Linked DNA regions of Danio rerio. The protein of the gene in region 3 interacts with the protein of the main gene of each other region in a biochemical or structural test. Links are inferred from orthologs where the notes say so. Each region holds a gene or a part of one and is shown on either strand. Other genes may lie near its edges. The genes, in order: bcl10, prkcq and card11.

What was found.
Region 1: the proteins of card11 (region 3) and bcl10 form a complex in vitro, tested with the Homo sapiens proteins (2 studies listed by BioGRID, with this or other methods). The link is inferred for Danio rerio from reciprocal best matches to the Homo sapiens genes CARD11 and BCL10.
Region 2: of the proteins of card11 (region 3) and prkcq, one has a biochemical effect on the other in vitro, tested with the Homo sapiens proteins (2 studies listed by BioGRID). The link is inferred for Danio rerio from reciprocal best matches to the Homo sapiens genes CARD11 and PRKCQ.

The regions. Positions count from the first base shown.
Region 1 is NC_133177.1:2,091,316-2,095,604, forward strand, and holds the start of bcl10 (B-cell lymphoma/leukemia 10), read left to right. Parts: upstream 1-1,449; 5' UTR 1,450-1,628; coding exon 1,629-1,679; intron 1,680-4,206; exon of another isoform or gene 4,207-4,289. UniProt on the Homo sapiens protein: Plays a key role in both adaptive and innate immune signaling by bridging CARD domain-containing proteins to immune activation.
Region 2 is NC_133179.1:26,090,595-26,094,255, forward strand, and holds the end of prkcq (protein kinase C theta type), read left to right. Parts: intron 1-813; coding exon 814-1,002; intron 1,003-1,103; coding exon 1,104-1,232; intron 1,233-3,414; coding exon 3,415-3,573; downstream 3,574-3,661. UniProt on the Homo sapiens protein: Calcium-independent, phospholipid- and diacylglycerol (DAG)-dependent serine/threonine-protein kinase that mediates non-redundant functions in T-cell receptor (TCR) signaling, including T-cells activation, proliferation, differentiation and survival, by mediating activation of multiple transcription factors such as NF-kappa-B, JUN, NFATC1 and NFATC2.
Region 3 is NC_133178.1:40,598,085-40,601,745, forward strand, and holds part of card11 (caspase recruitment domain-containing protein 11), read left to right. Parts: intron 1-817; coding exon 818-955; intron 956-3,661. UniProt on the Homo sapiens protein: Adapter protein that plays a key role in adaptive immune response by transducing the activation of NF-kappa-B downstream of T-cell receptor (TCR) and B-cell receptor (BCR) engagement.

The DNA.
Region 1 (4,289 bases), on a different chromosome or scaffold from region 3:
AATGTCCTCTGTTGTGAGAGAGTTGTAATAAAACAATGGTATGTTTTTAACAAATGAACACTTTTCCTTTTGTGTTTTATCAAATTAACCATTATTTAATCAGATTTAGTACTCCTAATAAACAGTGGGGATCGAAAGTTTGGGCGCCCCAGGTAAAAATTTGAATTAATGTGCATAAAGAAGCCACGACAAGATGGAAAAATCTCCAAAAGGCTTTAAATTACAGATTAGACATTTTTTTAATGTGTCAAAAAAGTTAAACTTTATTTCCATCATTTACACTTTCAAAATAACAGAAAATAAAAAAAAAAACATTCTGGGAACGTTCTCTGTAGGTTTTTTTTTTTTTTTTGGTAACCAAAATATAACCTTCCCAGAACGTTCTCTGCAGGCTATTTTCAATGGTTAATTTATTACCTACAGAGAACCTTCCCAGAACATTCCCTCTAGGTTTTATTTAGGTTTTTTTCATAACCTTGAGAGAACCTTCCCAGAACGTTCATTGTAGGTTAATTTTGGGATCTATTTTATAACCAAAAGAGAACCTTCTCAGAACGTTTTTTTGTTGATTATAATATCTTGAACTGCCGCCTTTGGCAAGTATCACAGCTTGTAAATGCTTTTTGTACAATTTTAAGTTTACAGTTTACATTTCAGATATAACTTTGTTTCAAATGTTACACTCTAAAAAAACGTTGAGTTATTTATTTAACCCAATAATTAAGTTAAACATATTTGGTGCTTTGTTGGGTTATTTTAACCTTTATTATGTTATTTATTAGTAACTCAACCAGTTGGGTTAAATAGTATGTGCTTTGTTGGGTTATTTTTAACCTTTATTATGTTATTTAATAGTAACTCAACCAGTTGGGTTAAATAGTATGTACTTTGTTGGGTTATTTATATCATAACTCAACCAGTTGGGTTAGAATTTTTAATTTCAACAGTCAACTGATTTAACTGACACAGAACAGCTGTATTAATATGTGCGCTTAATGTTGTTTTTGCATTCTAAAGTTTATTTAAGCTCTTAACGCAATAATATTGTTGTCTTTAGCACCCAGCGGAGACATTTATTTATTTACACTATCATAATTATAAAATTAATAGTAGTAATAGTAATAGAGTAATACCAGAATGAAAAAAAAACATGTATTTAAAATAACCCAATGCATTGAGTTAAAATACCCCATAGTTGGGTTTAATGTTGGGGTATTTTTAACCCAACTATTTTATCAGAGTATGAAAAATGCACAAATACAATCCCAATACAGTAAAAAGAATTAAATTGGAAAACACATGTAGGGGTATATACATCATCACAAATTAAAGGAAAATATTACATAATTTACAAATTTTACAAGTTCTCCCCTGTAAAATGATGACGTGATGCTGGGTTATGGCGTCATTCACAGAAAGTATGTAGGCTATCAATAAGGAAGTTAAAGCGCCGGTAGTTCCCCTTTACTATATGAGAACTACGAGTGGATCCAACGTGTGCTAACAAGTTCGTGTCTGGACATTTTGGCTGATTTCTGGTCGCCGATGTGGAATTTGAAGCACCGTTTTCTTACCGGAACGAGTTAAAAACTGAACAGTAGTGAAAAACAACAAAACGAAAAGAGAGGATGGATGTTACTCACCTGACGGAGGACGAAATGGCCGATATAAAGAAGGAAGTGAGTAAAACGAAACAAAACGCGTTAATGAAATCGAGAATCTATTAATCAGATAATGCCTTCGTAAAAGTAGAAGTGAAAGCGCTGAGGGGCACTGACCACAAACCTGATCGATGCAACCAAACGTTTATCAGGTGTAAAAACCTGAAAGCAAATGATTTCCAAATGAGTTCGTCAAGTTTTTATACTCCGACTTCACTTTATTAGAGTGTGAACTGCTTTATGAAGTACCTAAGACGAGCATATTAATCATATTGGTCTACGAGATTAAATAAACCCACATTAAAACATACTACAGTGGACTAACTTAATTCTGGCAAATATTAGTGTTTATGAACAATGCTAAAGTAGGCTAACGTTACTTGAATTAATCTGTTGTGGTAATTTTGTTGTTGTTATGGTAATACAACAGTATAAACATGTCACAATACTGTAATACATACAACTATACAGTTTACACATAATAGTAGCTTACAATACTAATGTAACACTAATAACACACTGCTAACGTATACTACAGTATTTATAACAGCTTATGAGTTCAATATTGATAAGTAAAATTCATTTATAAAGAGTTCACTAAAGAGTTTAATACACTTAACTATAGTATAGTTCAAAAACATTACTTTTCCAGCATATGTTTTACGCAGCGGATGCCCTTCCAGTACTGGGAAGTATATATATATATATATATATATATATATATATATATATATATATATATATATATATATATATATATTTTTTTTTTTTTTTTCCTTCAGCTTAGTCTCTATTTCAGAGGTCGCCACACAGGTTTCACGCAGCGGATGTCCTTCCAGTATTGGGAAACTTGTAATATATATATATATATATATATATATATATATATATATATATATATATATATATATATATATATATATATATATATATATATATATATATACACAGTTGAAGTCAGAATTATTAGCCCCCTTAATTATTAGCGCCCCTGTTTATTTTTTTTCCCAATTTCTGTTTAATGAAGGGAAGATTGTTTCATCACATTTCTAAACATAATAGTTTTAAAAACTTATTTCTAATAACGAATTTATTTTCTCTTTGATGACAGTAAATAATATTTTAATTAATATTTTAATATTTCAAGACACTTCTATACAGCTTAAAGTGAAATTTAAAGGCTTAATTGGGTTGATGTGGTGAATTTTAAGGTAAAGGTAATTTTGTCCCAAAATGTTTTTTAAAAAATTAATAACTGTTTTTAATCTTGCCAAAATAAAATAAATAAGACTTTCTCTAGAAGAAAAAATATTATCAGACATACTGTGAAAATTTCCTTGCTCTGTTAAACATCATTTGGGAAATATTTAAAAAAATAAAATAAAATCAAAAGGTGGCTAATAATTCTGACTTATATATGTGTGTGTGTATTCTTTTTAAATACTATATATAACTATTGCACTTCAATACACTACAGTTTACAAATTTATACATACACTGCTAACGTATACTACTGTATTTATTACAGATTATAAGTTTAATGTTGATAAGCAGCATTCATTACAAAGAGTTTGCTATACCGTTTAATATACGGTTCAAAAACACTATTTACTAAATATATTTATTTATATAAATTTAATTAATTCATTTTCCTTCGGCTTAGTCTCTATTTCAGAGGTCACCACAGTGGAATGAACCGCCAACTATACTATGGATACCCTTCCAGCCCCAACCCAGTACTGGGAAACTATTTATATACATTTATTTTATATTATATTATATATATATATCTGCCACTATATATATATATATATATATATATATATATATATATGTATGTATATATATGTATGTATATATATATATATATATATATATATATATATATATATATATATATATATATATATATATATATATATATACATACATATATATATACATATATATATATATATATATATATAGTTCAATACACTTAACTATAGTATGGTTCAAAAACACTATTTGCTATATATATATTTATATTATTTTACTATATGTATTATAGTAAAATATATTATATTAAACATAAAAAAGAATTATCTTTTATTAACTTAGCAGATATTTATTTAGTAGGCAGACGCTTTTAATAAACACTACAATTCAACAGAGAGTAGCAGTATATAAATGATATGTAAAGCACAAGCCTACAAGTCAAATTTATTCATTCATTCATTCATTCATTCATTCATTCATTTATTTATTTATTTATTTATTTATTTATTTATTTATCTTTGTTGAATAAGAGAAATCACACTAATCTCTGATCAAATCCTTGACACATGCCCAATAATTTTTGCCTGTCTTAAATGTTCCCTGCTTCAAAAATACTGATATATAATAGCCTCCCTGCAAAGCTCCCTGAAAAACTATGAGCTATTGGGCTTAGTGTTTTAAATGCAAAGTGTGGTCATTTCACATGTTTAATTGATTTAGTAATATAGGTTCATTGATAAATAAAATGTATTTATCAATTATTTTTAAAAGCATCTTCACTTTACAGCATTTTTACACAAGTGCCTAAAACTTTGAACAGCTTTGCTGGTAGGTTTTTGGAAGCATCTTCAAGATGAGCCAGAGTTCTTC
Region 2 (3,661 bases), on a different chromosome or scaffold from region 3:
TAAAGATCTGATAAAGATACTCACATGTCGTGCGTGTTGACACGTATTTCTGGCTAATTGAAGTCAATTTAATTTATTATTTAATTTATTTTATTTTATGTTTTTGCAGAAATGCGTAAACACAGAAAACTAGAATCATTGAAATGCGTTGGGTAAACCTGAGTAAAATCTCATTTTCCAAAAATGGACACTTATGACTGGTTTTGTAGTCTAGGGCAGGGATGGGCAAACTTGATCCTCGAGGGCCGGTGTCCCCGCAGAGTTTTGTTCCAACACTAGTCAAACACACCTGAACATGCTTATCAGCGTCTTCAAGATAACTAGAAATCTCTAAACAGGTTAGTGTGATTAGAGTTGGAGCTAAACTGTGCAGGACACCAGCGCTCCAGGACCGAGTTTGCCCACCCTTGGTCTAGGGTCACAAACATTTTCAGTTTGCATGTAATTTATCAACAAATATGAAATTATCTTAAGCAGATGATAAAATATTGCAGGTCACACTTTATTTTGTGGTCCGTTTGTTAAATTTAAATTACATTGCATCTACATGCCAACTAATTCTCATAAGGTTACAAGTAGTAGACATGTACATGCAAAGTTCCTTATAGTCAGTTAAATGTGTTGAAGAAGCAGTATCAATAGATATAAAGCAGACAGTCTACTAAAACTCAAATGGAACATCAAAATAAAGTGTTACCAAATTACACACCCCTAAAACTCCATTCACAATAGTTTTAAGTTAGATACCTAAACCATGCAAATAAGTGAATAAAAGTTATTTGTAATACATAATGTGCACTTTATACCTCACAGATACTGCTTGGTCAGAAATATGGGACATCTGTAGACTGGTGGTCATTTGGCGTCCTACTTTACGAGATGCTGATTGGCCAGTCTCCATTTCATGGGCACGATGAAGAAGAGCTGTTTCAGTCAATTCGCACAGATGACCCTTGTTACCCACGCTGGTTAACTAGAGATGCACGAGACATTCTTGTGAAGGTATATCTGAACTAGAGATCAATATAAGACTTGTGATTCTGTTATGAACTATAACAGTGTTTGTATATAAAATAACACAGTAAAACACTGATTGGTTTTAGCTGTTTGTCCGGGAGCCAGAGCGAAGGCTGGGCGTGAAAGGGAATATACGGCAACATCCCTTCTTTAGAGAAACAGACTGGAGCGCGCTGGAGGAACGACAGGTGGAGCCACCCTTCAAGCCCACTGTGGTAAGTTCATTACAGACCACAACGATTGTCATTTCTGCTCTAAAACCTGATGGGCTGTTGATATGGATAACATTTAAATGCTAATTAACAGCGCACAAACGCCAATAAACAATTTGTCGGATCAGTCGGCATCTGTTGCCATTGATCGGAGTTTTGTTTTCACCCAAATTAACATGTTTAATCTGCGTTTGTTAAATTGTGGATCACTGATTTTACAGTACAACTAAATACAATAGTTAATTTGCTTGTTGCCATTTGTCTGTGAAGTGTGAATTGGCTTTTAAAGGCATCAGATGCAGAGCAGGTTACAAAATAAACCAAATGAATCCTAAGCCTTAGAGTTAAACGGCAAAGCATACAGTAAAGGGTTAGTTCGCACTAAAAAACATTACTAGTTTGCATTCATTCAAAACACATTGATAACATTCAACAACAAAGTGTTAACATTTAATCAATACAACTATTTTTATGCCATTTGGTATTTTTTTAGCTACCAGAACCTTTTTCAGTAAGTACTAGTACATTTTAGGATGTCTATTCTTAAGAAACTAGCAGCACAAACCTTTTGTTAAGTTACTATTTTTATTAGATAATAGCATTCACTATTAAATACTTATTCATTAAATACTTGTATTCATTTATTACATGCTATAATTTATAGTCACATGTACATACTAAAATTTATCAAAAAGCCTACTAGTACTTACTGGTGCTGTCCTAACTACACATGCTGCAACACCCAATAAAATGTATCTTTTTCATGTTAAAGGGAGTTTTTGTCCTAGTAACCATCTCATGGCAATGCATGAATTTTAGAAATTCTTTCTATTTCTGTGACATTGTGGCTACTACAGCATATACTAATAAGACAATGATCATCTCGGGTAGAAATTATGTGCTTTATACAGGGTTAAATACAATGTGAGTTTAAATACCATTTTACTTTACATTTATTATTACTGAAAGCTGAAGCAGTTAACCTAAGATCTTGAAAATAAACAAACTATCAGGCAATTTGAAAATGAAAGTCAGAGTTACAACATACTGTAAGTCACTCAGTAGCCTACTAATAATGTTAAAGAGGTTGAATGTGTAATATTAAAAGCCTTTACCATTTTGCTGGGAGTCGGTAGCTGGTATTTAAATGTTTCTGTCGTGTCATGTTTGGTTCAGACAGCCAAATTGCTTGTCGCTGGAATCTTGTCTTGTCTTGTTAGGACAAAGTGTTATTCTTGATTAAATGCTAGCAGTTTTTCACTAGATTCATTAAAAATGGCCAATTATTCATTGGATACCAGTTCAGTAAACAGATAGGAATGTTTTATATACTAGTACCTATATTATTGGATACTTGTTATTTAATAAAACAAGTACTAAAATTTATTATTACAGTAAGTACTATAGCAACTATTAAGTATATCCTAGTTTGCTTATTTTAAATACTATTTATTTAGTAGTATCTAATTACTTCTCGTAGTTATTAATTAGACACTTGTACATTTATTCATTTTCTTTTCGGCTTAGTCCCTTTATTAAAAAAAGGGGCATGTTTTACGGAGCAGATGCCATTCCAGCTGCAACCCATCTCTGGAAAACATCCCTACACACTCATTCACACTCGTACACTACAGACAATTTAGCCTATACTACATGTCTTTGGCACATGGAACGCCATGTGACCTAGCTGAGGCTCAAACCAGCGACCTTATTGCTGATAGGTGACAGCACTACCTACTGCGCCACCGTGTCACCGACACCTGTACATGTAAAAAAAAAAGATAACAGAATTTTTGTTTTTGGTGTAACTTTTGTTAAATTTTTTCCAAAACAGGAATTTAAGCTGTATTTAGTTTATATGTTACTGAAGTCAATGACAGAAGATGCATTAGCTCTGAGACAGGATATAAATGTATGATTTAATGAGGTACATTTTAATTTATACATATCCGAGTGTTGTTTTTAGCTTGGCGACATGCTAAAGTTGCAATTTCTCTGTGTTGTGCACCATTAATGCTGGTGTAGATCATTTGAATTCCGTACATTTTGAGGTTTAGTTTTAGTTATGGTGTCTGTAGTAGACAATAGAACTGAACGCAGCACCTCACAATAGATTTTAGAGGTTTGTTGCAAACATTTATCTGTGACTATGACGTTTTGTTTTTTTTTGTTTGTTTGTTTACAGAAATCAGCAAATGACTGCAGTAACTTCGATAAGGAGTTCATAAACGAGAAGCCTCGACTCTCCGTCACAGATCGTATGATGATCAATAGCATGGATCAGAGCATGTTCGAAAACTTCTCCTTTATCAACCCTATCATGACTCGTCTCAAGAGCCCCTGATTCTCCAACTAACATTCATAAAAGACATTCGTGCAAACACTGTGAATAGTCCAAAACAAAAAAAGCAAACACTCATACTGTACCATAC
Region 3 (3,661 bases):
AATGAAGTATTTATTCATTCATTCATTTTCTTTTCGGCTTAGTCCCTTTCTTAATCTGGGTTCGCCACAGTGGATTGAACTGCCAACTTGTCCAGCGCATTTGACACAGCGGATGCCATTCCAACTGCTAAACTCTCATACACTCTCATTTACACACATAAACTAAAGCCAATTTAGCTTAACCAATTTACCTATAGCGCATGTCTGTGGGGTAAACCGGAGCACCCGGAGGAAACCCACGCCAACACAGCAAGAACATGCAAACTCCACACAGAAATGACAACTGACCCAACCGAGGCTCGAACCAGCGACCTTCTTGCTGTGAGACGACAGCACTACCCACTGCGCCACCGTGCCACCCACTTTGAAGACTTTTTTATTAAATGAAGTAAATATATGTGAAAATAAATAATTACATACATAAATAAATACATACATACATTATAATGATTAGAAAATGCAGTATTGTTGCAGTAGTATAGAAATCTATTATTTTCCAAGAATGGGGGATTATAATCATATTTGGGAACAATCATATTGGGGAACATTGCAAACAAAACACCCTAATTTTATTGATTTGATGTTTTTTGGAAAAGCTAAATTTAGTGATATACAATTTTGCTAATTTTACTTTTGACTTGATTGGCATTTATTTTTTTAACTGACATGACATGAAAAAAACCTACAGTACATATTTAATTAAATTAAAAGCGACTTCAATTTTGTCGAACATGTACTATATAAAGTACCTTAATAAAGTCGACATTAAGACATTACTCTGTATACTTTTTTAGTTTTGCTTGTGGTTTTGTTTCAGGCCGGCTGCTGGATATCCTGCACACGAAGGGAGAGCGAGGCTATGTGGTTTTTCTGGAGAGTCTTGAGTTGTATTACCCTGACCTCTACAAACTGGTCACGGGGAAGGAGCCGACACGCAGATGCTCCACTATAGTCGGTGAGACACTTTTAAATTAAAATACTGCACATATAAAAGATCTATGACCATGTTTTAAAATTGTTTGTTGCCTTGCACCTGCTTCTCCTGTGGGATGAGTATCTGCAATAAATCCCATTTCCAAATCCCATTTTAAGCAGTTGCTTCTAATAATAATTAATACATATAATAAATAAATAAATAAATAAATAATAATATGTAAGCACCTTGGTGGTACACTAATAGTATCAGAAGGTGCTATATAATTACCATACTCGTACAATATAACATATAATTGACATATCAAGTATACTACAGTGCAGCCGGAAAGTATTCATATCGCTTCACTTTTTTCACAATCTTTAATGTTACAGTCTTATTCCTAAATGTATTTAATTCATTTATTTCCTCAAAATTCTACAGACAATAGCCCATAATGAAAGTGTGAAAAAAGATTTTTTGAAATTGTTGCAAATTTATTAAACATAAAAAACCTGAAAAAACACATGCGTATAAGTATTCACAGCCTATGCTCAATACGTTGTTGATGCACCAGTGGCTGCAATTACAGCCTCAAGTCTTTTTGAATATGATGCCACAAGCTTGGCACACCTGTCTTTAGGTGTTTTGCTGTACCTCTCAAGCTCTATTAGGTTGGATGGGAAGCGACGGTGTACAGCCATTTTCAGATCTCTCCAAAAATAAGATTTAGGTCTGGGTTCTGGCTGGGCCACTCAAGGACATTCACCAAGTTGTTGTGAAGCCACTCCATTGATATTTTAGTGGTGTGCTTTGAGTCATTGTCCTGCTGGACGATGAACCGTCGCCCCAGTCTGAGGTCAAAAGCACTCTGAAGCAGGTTTTCATTCAGCATGTCTCTGTACATTGGTGCATTCTTCTTTCCCTCCATTCTGACTAGTCTTCCAGTTCCTGCTGCTGAAAAACATCACCACAGCATGATGCTACCACCACCATGCTTCACTGTAGGGATGGTATTAGTCTAGTGATAAGCGGTGCCTGGTTTTCTCCGAACGTAATGCCTGGCATTCACTCCAAAGAGTTAAATTTTAGTCTCGTCAGACTAGAAAATTTTGTTTCTTATGGTCTGAGAGTCCTTCAGATACCTTCTGGAAAATTAGAGGCGGTAAGTGGCTTCCGTCTGGTTAATCTACCACACAGGCCTGATTGGTGGATTGCTGCACAGATAGTTGTTCTTCTGTAAGGCTCTCCTCTCCACTGGAGCTCAGACAGAGTGACCATTGGGTTATTGATCATCTCCCTAACTAAAGCCCTTCTCCCCCGATCACTGAGCTTAGAGGGCCGGCCAGCTCTAGGAAGAGTCCTGGTGGTTCCAAACATCTTCCATTTACGGATGATGAAGGCCACTGTGCTCATTGGAACTTTCAGAGCAGCAGAAATTTTTGTGCCTTGAGACAATCCTGTCTCGGAGATCTACAGACAATTCTTTTGTCTTCATGCTTGGTTTGTGCTTTGACATGCAATATCAACCCTTGGACCTTATATAGACAGGTGTAAGCCTTTTCAAGTCATGTCTAATCAACTGAGTTTACCACAGGTGAACTCCAATTAAGCTGCTGAAACATCTCAAGAATGAGCAGTGAAAACAAAATGTACCTTAGCTCAATTTAGAGCTTCACAGCAAAGGCTGTCAATAATTATGTACATGTGATTTTTCAGGTTTTTTATTTTTAATAGATTTGCAACAATTAAAAAAATAAAAAATAAATATAAATATATATATATATAAATATATACATATTGTCATTATGGGGTATTGTGTGTAGAATTTTGAGAAAATAAATGAATTTAATTTATTTTGGAATAAGGCTGTAATATAAAATTGAAGCACTATGAATACCTTCCGGATACACTGTATATGGTGTTATTGGTGCTTTTTTCAGTTCCCACTTCTTATAGCTATTAATATAAATAAGAACTAGTTCTCAATTACACTGACTGGTCAAACAGAGGTTATAATCATATACTACTATGTACTAACATCGGTAAATGAATGATTTGTGTTCATATTGTGTTGCAAGATTAGGGTTAGGGATAGGCTTGGTGGTATGGTTAGGTTTATGGGTGGGTAAAGTGTAAAGCAGGGGTCTCAAACTCGCGGCCCGCGGGCCACTTGCGGCCCTCAGTGCAATACTTTTTTCCCTAGGACTTCAATAAGTCAAAGTACAGGTCTAGACTTAATGATGATCATCTTCAAGCCATACTGAGGGTCTCAACTGCTTCCGCTCTAAAGCCAAATGTGGTTCAGATTTGTGAGAGGAAGCGCTGTCAAGTCTCTGGCAGCAAAGAGTAGGCAAAAGATGCCATGTTCAGAAGAACTGTTCATAATCTTCACTCAATGTTCTATTAATGTTCAGGACACTTCATGTTCAGAAGAAATAATTAAAACTGTTAATAATGACATTTGAGGACTTTTTTTTTGTGAAATCCCTTATGCGGCCCAGCCTCACCCAGACTTTGCCTCCTGCGGCCCCCAGGTAAATTGAGTTTGAGACCCCTGGTGTAAAGGATAGGTTAATGGGGTAGTCATATGTAATTAAATAAAATATTTACAGCGGTAACTGCGTGCAGATCTTTAAAATATCGGTTCAAAATAAAACCTGTATGTACACAATAAGTGCATTGCACCAAATGATCCATGTAAGCACATGGTAGTTAAAGTCACTTGATATAAGGTGGTACACCTAT